Rattus norvegicus: one gene and its partners. The protein of the gene in region 1 interacts with the protein of each later gene in a biochemical or structural test. Links are inferred from orthologs where the notes say so. Each region holds a gene or a part of one and is shown in the gene's direction. Other genes may lie near its edges. The genes, in order: Tlk1, Mbp and Asf1a.

Region 1 (3,655 bases):
TTTCCTTTCCCAGTGTACCTTTTCTATTGACTACTCCCTTCCCGGTGTAGGTTTTGTACAGTGCTAGAGTACTGTGAAGGCAATGACTTGGACTTCTACCTGAAACAACACAAGTTGATGTCTGAGAAAGAAGCACGGTCCATTGTGATGCAGATTGTGAATGCCTTACGATATCTTAATGAAATCAAACCTCCTATTATACATTATGACCTTAAGCCAGGTATTTCTTTTTTTGGTTCTTTTTTTTCTGGAGCTGGGGACCGAACCCAGGGCCTTGCGCTTCCTAGGCAAGCGCTCTACCACTGAGCTAAATCCCCAACCCCTTAAGCCAGGTATTTCAGGAAGTGTATCTTACAGGGTTGGTATGGGGTGGGGTAGTGGGAGGTGGGGGTTATGTTTGCATTTCTGCTTGTATTTTATAACAGGGTTTCATTGTGTAGCCTAGGCAGAGGAACTCAGGGAGAGCCACCTTCCTCTGCCTCCTGAATGTTGGAACTAAAGGCATCTATCACCATAATCAGTCCCCAAATACACATTTATTTACCAAACATTTCTCTTAGTTGTAAAAATCATCCTTTCATTCATAAATATGGTGTGTGTGTGAATGCGCACATGCACATTACTAAAAATGTTGTACTTTGTTTTTTAGGAAATATCCTTCTAGTAGATGGAACGGCGTGTGGAGAAATCAAAATCACTGATTTTGGTCTGTCTAAGATTATGGACGATGACAGTTATGGTGTTGATGGGATGGATCTGACTTCCCAGGGGGCAGGCACTTACTGGTAAATGTATTATTAGTAAACATAGGGAGACTGCTTAGAGTAGTCCCCAGTGGTTTAAGAATGTTCAGTGTCGGGGCTGGGGATTTAGCTCAGTGGTAGAGCGCTTACCTAGGAAGCGCAAGGCCCTGGGTTCGGTCCCCAGCTCCAGGGGGGGAAAAAAAAAGAAAAAAAAAAAAAAAGAATGTTCAGTTTCATTTTCAAATATTCTTTGAGATTGCTGTATTGAAGGCTGATACTAAGACTTGGAAGTGAGAGGGAGAGTCTCGTGGCTAGTATTCTCTTCTTACATTCTTAGCTACAAAGATCGAAAATTGCAAAAAGGGTGTCTTGGCATCTGCGTATGACTTTAATATGTAGCAGCCAGGAACTTCTAGTGTGAATCAGAGATCGTGAGTTTTCTTAGGGTGTTGAGTGATGTTTATGATCTGAATACGTACTTTTGCTGATGTAATGTCCTGACTGTTTCAAATAAGAACACCCATGAACCTCAGGCCTTCTCTGTAAAGATTTGTGATGTGTGTATGTATGTATATGTGTATGTGTGTGTATATATGAATGGTATCGAGTTTGTTAATTGTAGATAATTCAGCATATTCATAGTCGTTAGACCTGACTCAAATTTCTTTATGTAGCTATAAATCTAGATAGAACTGATTCTTACATGTAAAAGTCATCCTGAACATACCTAGGTGTCTCAGGGTTACTGTTGGTGTGACGAAACACTACAGCCAACAAACAGGAGGAAAGGGTTTAGTGGACCGACACTTCCACAGCACTGTTCCACATGGAAAGAAGTCAGGGCAGGATCCCAAACTCTGTGTGACTCAAGAGCTTTTGTCAAGTCATGGAACTCACCAGGACCCTGCTCATTTACAAAGCCCATGACGGTGTGAATTTGCAAACTTACTCAAGTTTGCTAGAGTAGAGAACATAGACTAACATTTTCAAAACTAACCTAGTTCTCAAAATAAGTGAGATTAGCAAGAAGGGAGATTTGGCAGGGAAGAGAGCTGCACACAACTTCTTTGAACAGGATTGCAAGTCCACCGAGTGTTGAGGGCCCGGGGCAGCCCACACGGAGTGTGCTTGAGCCCGTGTCTCCTGACGTGTGCTGACCACTCTCCTGACGTGTGCTGACTTTGCTGGAGAGGAGTTAGTCATATTTGTGGATTATTTGTAAGCCACATGAAAGTCGTGTCCTCAACCTGTGGTGCTGCCTAAATAGTGACTGCATTCACAGTGCAGAGCACAGTCTGTCAGCCTTGTAACCTCCGGAAAGTTAGTATATTTTTACCTTTGTATGTCAAATAGGAATTTATGAATAGCAGTTTTGGATTTTAAAAGTTAATGTTTGAATGCTTGGTATATTTCACACACTGACTGGTAGTGTTTGCAGCTGCACAGTAAACCAAAGCTCCTTGCACTTCTTGAAGTATAGTGCAAGGAGTGCTGCTGCTTCTGTAGGTGCACCACACCTCCTTCCCCTGGCATGGGGAAGGAAGCCATGTTCTGCGTGGCAGGCAAAGAGAAAGCTCATGCCCAGAAGAGGGTGAGTGACCTGACTAACCAGTTTAGGGTAAGAGCGGGGATAAAGGTGATTGTAGATTTGGCATTTATATTGCGAATTAGGATAGGTTATATTACAGGGAGAGATATGAGATCCTGTCTCACTGGAATAAGTAAGGGCTTTGGGTAACTTAAAGGAGAGACTCAGTGGTCTGGTGTGTATTTTAAGAGAACTATCTGCGGGGCTGGAGAGATGGCTCAGCGGTTAAGAGCACCCGACTGCTCTTCCAGAGGTCCTGAGTTCAATTCCCAGCAACCACATGGTGGCTCACAGCCATCTGTAAAGAGATCTGATGCCCTCTTCTGGTGTGTCTGAAGACAGCTACAGTGTACTTATATATAATAAATGAATAAATCTTTTTAAAAAAAAAAAAGAGAACTATCTGCAATTTAGACAGTGGGCGAGGTGGGTGGGAGAGTCTTTCTTCCATTATTAGAAGCTTAGATTATACTATCACAATCTCCAATGATCATGTTTTCTTTAGGATAAATATATTTTTTACAAAGTCGAATTTTGGTTTAAATGAATTAAAACTTTGATTCATGGAAAACAGTTTATGTGTGAGTAAATAAAATAAGCACTCTAGGGGGCTGGAGAGATGGCTCAGGGGTTAAGAGCACTGACTGCTCTTCCAGAGGTCCTGAGTTCAAACCCCAGCAACCACATGGTGGCTCACGACCATCTGTAATGGAATCTGATGCCCTCTTCTGGTGTGTCTGAAGACAGCGACAGTGTACTTATATATAATAAATTAATCTTTAAAAAAAACAAAGCATTTTAAGGTTAGAAGGTTTTAAACTAAGCATCGTGTCCTTTCTTTTCCCTCCTATTACTCACAGGTATTTACCTCCCGAGTGCTTTGTAGTTGGAAAAGAGCCACCGAAGATCTCCAACAAGGTTGACGTGTGGTCAGTTGGGGTCATCTTCTTCCAGTGCCTCTATGGTAGAAAAGTAAGTTGTAAAACCAACTTCAATTGTATAGAGATAAGTTAATCTGTTTGTTATTTTAAAAAATGTGTAATTTTTTATTAACTTAGAATCAGTTTAGATCCTTCCAAGGAAAGGCACGTTTCTTGATTATTTCCTTGGGTCAGCGTTATTCAGCAGTTGATGTGGCGCTCTCTCCTTACCCTCTCTTTCCCAAACATTGTCTGTTAGCAGCTGTAGAGTGCAGCACTTTGCAGTGTCTGTCACTCCTTACTTCTCTCAGCTCCTCCCCTCCCCTGCAGACATCTGGCCTCGGCAACATTTCCTCCCAAACTCCCCAGAGAATTGCCATCAAACTTACTTTTTCCCAAACCTC
Region 2 (3,755 bases), on another chromosome or scaffold:
CCCACGTGAAGCAATCTGGTTACCATGACTTGCAAGGGAGCCAGATCCAAATGCCCTGAATAAGCAGTTCCCGGAGCCAGAGCCTCCAGCGGAATCCGGGAGAGAGGAATGCTCAGTGCCCTGCTTCCCTGGACTGTAAGTTGCAGAAAGATGTGGGAAGTTCTGTTCTCCACTGAGAACACTAAAAGCACCTTTTGTCAAACAACGGCTTCACATCTGGGGCTTGTGCACCAGTGGTCTTTTAGACAGTGAGCAGCCCACAAGATACCTAACCTGCGGGGCTCTCTGGTACAGTGAGCAACTCAGGAAATGTTTTTGCTTCATTGCTGCGGGCTCTCAGGTCATCGCTCTCTGGAGTGGTTCTTTTGATAAGGATCTGAAGACAGCCCCTGAGCCACGTATACCAAGCAAGCTCAATACGGGTTAGCTCCCTTTGGTTGAGGCTATTCAAAGTGCTACGAGGCTCCTTGGGCCCTGCGCATATCTGTGCGTTTTATAGGAGACAGCTAGTTCAAGACCCCAGGAAGAAAGCGGCTTTGTCCCTCTCGAGGCCTCGCACAGGCCCACATTCATATCTCATTGTTGTTGCAGGGGAGGCAGATGCGATCCAGAACAATGGGACCTCGGCCGAGGACACAGCGGTGACAGACTCCAAGCACACAGCAGACCCAAAGAATAACTGGCAGGGTGCCCACCCAGCTGACCCAGGGAACCGCCCCCACTTGATCCGCCTCTTTTCCCGAGATGCCCCGGGAAGGGAGGACAACACCTTCAAAGACAGGCCCTCAGAGTCCGACGAGCTTCAGACCATCCAAGAAGATCCCACAGCAGCTTCCGAAGGCCTGGATGTGATGGCATCACAGAAGAGACCCTCACAGCGACACGGATCCAAGTACTTGGCCACAGCAAGTACCATGGACCATGCCCGGCATGGCTTCCTCCCAAGGCACAGAGACACGGGCATCCTTGACTCCATCGGGCGCTTCTTTAGCGGTGACAGGGGTGCGCCCAAGCGGGGCTCTGGCAAGGTGAGCTCCGAGGCGTAGAGGAACTATGGGTTTAACTGGCAGAAAGGAAGGAGAGGTGGGCAGGTGAACTGGGCCAGTCACCATGGCTGGCATGTCCCTGTGTCTGAGATACTGGCCCTGATTGGACAGTGGTGATGGCCTGGGGGAGTGGGCGAGGAGTGGGCGTGGTCGCCACTTAGCCTATGTCAACCCGTATTGCTACCTTTGTCCTTCTCACAAGGGACTGCGATTGGGTGTCACTCTGAAATGCAAGGGCCTTCTGCATCCTAAATTTTGAGGCTCCCTGGATGAGTCATTGAGACTACTGGTTCTTAAGTGTATATGCCCTATGCCTGGGGCTTCAGCCTATTCCGCCTCTGCACAGTGCTTCCCGTTTCGATCCTGATTTGTGTTCATTCTCTGCTGGGTTCAGGCTGCTAATTTCTTGCCGCTGTGAAACAATGGTCCGGTTGAGGCAAGGAGGTCTGCCGAGCAAACCCCTGCACCTCCAACAAACTTTCCCCTTTGTCTTAAGTCGTTTGGTTGGGGGGCGGGGGGGTGTTTGAATGTATGTTCAAGACAATTTGTTTGTGTGTGATTCCATTAATTTAAATATAACTTGGGTTTCATGATGTTTCGAAAGCAAATATCCTGTGAATTAAAATGTATCAGAAGATAAAACGGTGCAGGTGGTCCAGTTTCCAAGGGCAACATCTGGGGTGGACTATGCATTAGCCTGTGGGTTCAGGTTTGTGACACCAGTAACTAGTGTCAGGTGGCTGCCACCTTGAAAGTGCATGGCATCTTCTATGACTCTGTTGGATGGCCGAGCAACTCTTGGGAGAGATGTGGAACAAAGCCCTGGTTTGTGAGTAGCCTCACAGCCTGGGGATTTTTCTGTCTCTTAAGTTGTGTCTGTGTTCAAAGCCCTGGAGAACTCAAGAGGCTTTTGACTGAAGTGTGGGGCAGAGGCCTCTCCACGGCTCTAAAGCCATTGCCAGTGCAGTTTCTGAAATGCTGTCGTCTCCAGCCTCACCTTTGAGAGTGGAGATGGTTGTGAACTGCTGGATTCAATGACAGCTCTTCTGCCCTGTGGCCATCAGAGCCCCTTGGTGTCTCAGCAGCAGTCTGGCCCTCACCTGGATGTCACCGCAACTTGACTGTCACTAACACTCGGTGTGTCTAACTTGTTAACAGAATTCAAGCTGCACCAGGTCCCTTCACAGTCTGTACTTAAAGGTGTTGCCTTCAGCCTGAGACAGCAATCTTGTTTCCAATGCTAATTTACATGACAGTGGCTTTTCAAGCTGTCTTAGGGCGCTTGAGGGCTAGAGGCTCCTGACTGCCCCCCTCAGGTCTATCTGTGTAACCACACATGCACACAGCCTCACCCAGTCCATGTAGCTGGAGGAACAGGACTTAAAACTGGGTAGGAAAGACGAAATAGCTACAGGGCACAGATTCTAGAACCAGTCTTGAGGTCATGGTTCAAGTTGAAACACTGTAACGGGTTTATGTGTTGCTCCATGGCTCTCCCAGAGGGTACAGATGTGCCTCTCCATCCGCTGCTTTTCCAAGAAAAAGAAGAAATTCAAAACTCAGAAGCAGTCCAAATATTCGCCATATATAAATACATATAATTTTTTAAATTGAGATTTTTTTGAAACTTCAAGTGTCAATTTTTTGTACCATGACTGTGCTTTTTGAATATGAAGGATTATTTAAATGAATAGCCTTCATAGCAAAAAAAAAAAAAAAAGTCCCTCGGTGTTTGCATGTGTGGTCCTTATGGTCTCGTTATTATTAGCGTTTTAATTAGCATATGAAATAGGGTTATGGCATTTCCGTACAGAGTTTGTGTTGATGCTCCCCTGTGCCTCCCGCAGCTTGTTCCAAGCATAACCAAAGGTGCTTTCCTCTGGGAAGCTCCCTGCCCAGGACACAGCAAGGGTCAAGCCTTGGTGTCCAAGCCTCTTTGATTGTGGGTCCTTGGTTGTTTAGCATTGGTGAAGGAGGCTTAACTCACTCTACACCTGGCTATAAATCACAATCCCCAGAGAAGCTGCCAGGGGCAGTTACTGCCCTGGGATGTCAGGAGCATCTGTTCTATTTGTAGTTTGATGTTTGTAGAGGGGGGGGGGCAGGGCTTGCTTTCCTATACTACAGAGGTCCTTAAGAATGTTGCAAAGAATAGAGTCCAAAGGCTAGCGTCACTTGTGATGAAAGCCTGCACCCTTGATGTTATTCTAAGATAGGCATCTAACATGCATGCAGGGTGCTTGGGTAGCAGTACAAGTGCCAGCACCTGCCACTTAGAGATGCAGCTGTGTCACCTGTGTGGAAAAGGGTCCCCAAATAGAACCTGGGAGACTCTGAACCCCCTCCCTTACCCTGCAATGTAAGGTCATGTTGTCTCCTGCATCCTCCCTCCCCGGGGCACGTGGTACCTCCGTGCCATGCAGAGTCACCACCCCCAGCTCCCAGAATGCAGGGACAACACCCAGCCTTTGTGCGTTTTCCAGGCTGACATTCAAAGGCAGCACATGAAGAATGCCCTGAGAAGGCATATTCTTCTGAGACCCGTGGTGAAAAGTCCATTAACAGAGAGCATTCTCCTTTGTCCTGGGAGGAAAGGGGGGCTGTGCTGTGGGGAGGCTGTGCTCTGGCCTCTCAGGAACAGGGTTCAGGCCTTCCGAGGCTGTGAGGAGGTGGCTTTGAGGAAAAGAACAAAGACACCTGCTCTGACCC
Region 3 (2,829 bases), on another chromosome or scaffold:
CTTTCTAGCTTCAAAGGAATATTTTGGCTTCTAATCCCAGAGTCACAAGGTTCCACATTAACTGGGAAGATAACACAGAGAAACTGGAAGACGCAGAGAGCAGTGACCCCAATCTGCAGTCCCTTCTTTCCACAGATGCACTGCCTTCAGCATCAAAGGGATGGGCGACGTCAGAAAACTCACTCAGTGTCATGTTAGAATCCCACATGGACTGCATGTGACACGTGCCATGCCATTAGTACAGATTAAGCTATTAAAACAGAACTATCTCCCTGAAGTTCCGTAAGTACATAGTCAACGTGAAATGTGAAGAATTTGTTTAAAAACATCCTGTAGAAAGTTTATAAGAAAACCAGTATTTGAGCAAATTGTGGAATATAAATACAACTATTTTTAAGGACTTTTTTTCTCTAATGTGTTATTTTATTTGTTCATGAAACTAATCTGATTAAAGCATATATATTATTTTCTTCTCTTTTATATGTAATTAAAGCACTTATAAAAAGAAAAGTTATCAATTCTTAGACTGGGTTGTAAAGGTGTTTTAGCCTCTTGGACAATAAGATTTATCAGCTTTTAAAAGGACAAAGTTTACTTCAACTAAAATGATTTTTCCTGTGAAGATAGTATCCTTATAATTTGACAAGAAAATTTCCATTCTGTAGTAAAAAAGATAGATTTAAAATGGGATTTGAAATCAATCACATGCCACCAGGGTTTTTCTAGGCCATCCCAGTGCATCTTACTACAGTTCACATTAAACTGGACTTCTAGTTTTTATATAACAAATGCGGCTGCCTTTGAAGTCCTTCTGACTATCGTGTATGCTTTCCTACATCTAAAACTGAGAAACTATGATCCTAAGCCATCACTGTCTAGAGAGTCCAACACATAAGAGCAAACATAAGGTCTCTGAAGTGTAAGACTCCATTATGATGGCTCAGATCTGCTCACTCTTTCTGCTTACAGGAATGCTGAACGTGCGTTGCTGGCACCATTACTATTGAAGGGTGATTTAGGAAGGTCTAGTCAGCTTCATCCTGGCTAGCGACTCTAGAGAGTATGTCTTACCTTTTGCAGCCACACTACCCCATATCCTTTGGTTCTCATAATGTGTAAGATCAGGGCATTATCTGTAGTTAACATAACAGCTTAACCACTTTTTTTTTTCTCAGAAGAATAGTTTTAGAAAGGAATTCACCAAATAAATGGGCCAAAAGCTTATTTTCTTTAATGAGAAGTAAATCCTCAAAGTTTTGATCCATTAAATTGACAGTACAATATTCTCAGTTGTTATCAGTGATGATGCCCAGGATAGCCATAGGTTCAAGTTATGCAGTGCCTTCACATCTAAGCTTTTATACTGCACTTTCAAAAGCATTTTGAGGAAAAGGAAGGGGTATTTATTTAAATACAGACTCTATAAGTTGTAATATATTTCTTGCTTTTTTTAAAAGATAAATTTGTGAAACAAAGTCTTGTTAAATGTTAAACTTTGAAATTTAAGACTCCATATTACCCAGTTCATAGATTTTAAAAATAAATATTTCTGGCTACTAAAATGATTTGAAAAAAAAATCTCATTTTGTCTAACTACAATTAGGAGAAAATGTTTAAGACAGTTCAGTGATCAGTACAGTAAGAATAAGTTTGTCAGAAATAAAGATAATTAAATCACCAAGTAAAGCAACTCAGTGCAGTCTTAGATTATAGAACCACTTTGTGATGACATGCTTAGGTCTTTATACCAAACTTTAAATATATGGCCCATAGTCACAAAAGTCGGAGAAATAAAATACTGCCTTTTATTATTTAAATGCAATAGCATTTAAATTTAAAAGTGAAAGAAGAATAGAAACATTTACACATTAAGAACTAAGAAACTAGCATGCAGGGATTTTCCTCCTGATTAGCCTCATTTAAAAAGACATTATGTCTGAATTACAGTTAAAAGGCTTATAGACTCCGCTCCACCCCACTTCTTTTGAGATATGGTCTCTCAACATAGCCCTGGCTGTCCTGAACTTTCCTTAGACCAGTGTAGCCTTCAGCTCACAGACATCCACCTGCTTCTGCCTCCTGAGAGCTGGGATTAAAGGCATTCGACTCCACACCCTGCACCACTTCCTTGTTTCTATCAGTATAAATAAATGTCTGGTGAATACGTACACATACAACACACACATATGCACACACACAGTCCACACCGCTGAAGAGCTAGGGGAGTAGGTTATGATGGTATGGAGTTGAAACATTTCAGAAGTCTGAGGAGGCACACATGCATTTGCTCATTCACAACCCTTTCTGACCCTTCATTTCTGTTCAGTCCATGGGGGCTGTCAACGTGGCCCAGTCGGTAAGGTGCTTGCTGCCAAGCCTGGCTACTTCAGTTCAGTACCCAGGATTCACATGATAGAAACATTCTCCCACAGGTTGTCACCTAACTTCCATATATGCTCACACAAACTAAGTAAATTAAGGGTAATGCAAAATTTTAAGACTATGACATGTTTCCTATCGCAGTCCATAGTATAAAATGCCATATGACCATGCAATGCAAGTATACATTTATATTAGGTTTTTCAAGAAAGTAGCCCTTCGCTGCCCCTACTGTGTGCAGCCTGACTCTTGATGGATTACAGGAGTGCCAAAGCCCACTGACATCTTTGAGTGGGTAAAAAGTAGCAATTAAGTTCCTACAATTACAAAACCTTTACCAACCTTTTTTCTCACCTTTGGATTATGATCTTGACATATGAAATGAGGGAGGAGAGTGCTAATTCACTTTCTATTTATATTATCACTAACACTTGAGAACTTCTTTATTAA

The links.
Region 2: the proteins of Tlk1 (region 1) and Mbp form a complex in vitro, tested with the Homo sapiens proteins (2 studies listed by BioGRID, with this or other methods). The link is inferred for Rattus norvegicus from reciprocal best matches to the Homo sapiens genes TLK1 and MBP.
Region 3: of the proteins of Tlk1 (region 1) and Asf1a, one has a biochemical effect on the other in vitro, tested with the Homo sapiens proteins (3 studies listed by BioGRID). The link is inferred for Rattus norvegicus from reciprocal best matches to the Homo sapiens genes TLK1 and ASF1A.

Annotation. Positions count from the first base shown.
Region 1 is NC_086021.1:75,933,944-75,937,598, reverse strand, and holds part of Tlk1 (serine/threonine-protein kinase tousled-like 1), read left to right. Parts: intron 1-50; coding exon 51-220; intron 221-649; coding exon 650-785; intron 786-3,191; coding exon 3,192-3,303; intron 3,304-3,655. UniProt on the Homo sapiens protein: Rapidly and transiently inhibited by phosphorylation following the generation of DNA double-stranded breaks during S-phase. This is cell cycle checkpoint and ATM-pathway dependent and appears to regulate processes involved in chromatin assembly.
Region 2 is NC_086036.1:78,209,471-78,213,225, forward strand, and holds the start of Mbp (myelin basic protein), read left to right. Parts: upstream 1-851; coding exon 852-1,028; coding exon of another isoform or gene 1,029-1,046; exon of another isoform or gene 1,047-1,688; intron 1,689-3,755. UniProt on the Homo sapiens protein: The classic group of MBP isoforms (isoform 4-isoform 14) are with PLP the most abundant protein components of the myelin membrane in the CNS. They have a role in both its formation and stabilization.
Region 3 is NC_086038.1:33,449,246-33,452,074, forward strand, and holds the end of Asf1a (histone chaperone ASF1A), read left to right. Parts: intron 1-8; coding exon 9-221; 3' UTR 222-2,233; downstream 2,234-2,829. UniProt on the Homo sapiens protein: Histone chaperone that facilitates histone deposition and histone exchange and removal during nucleosome assembly and disassembly.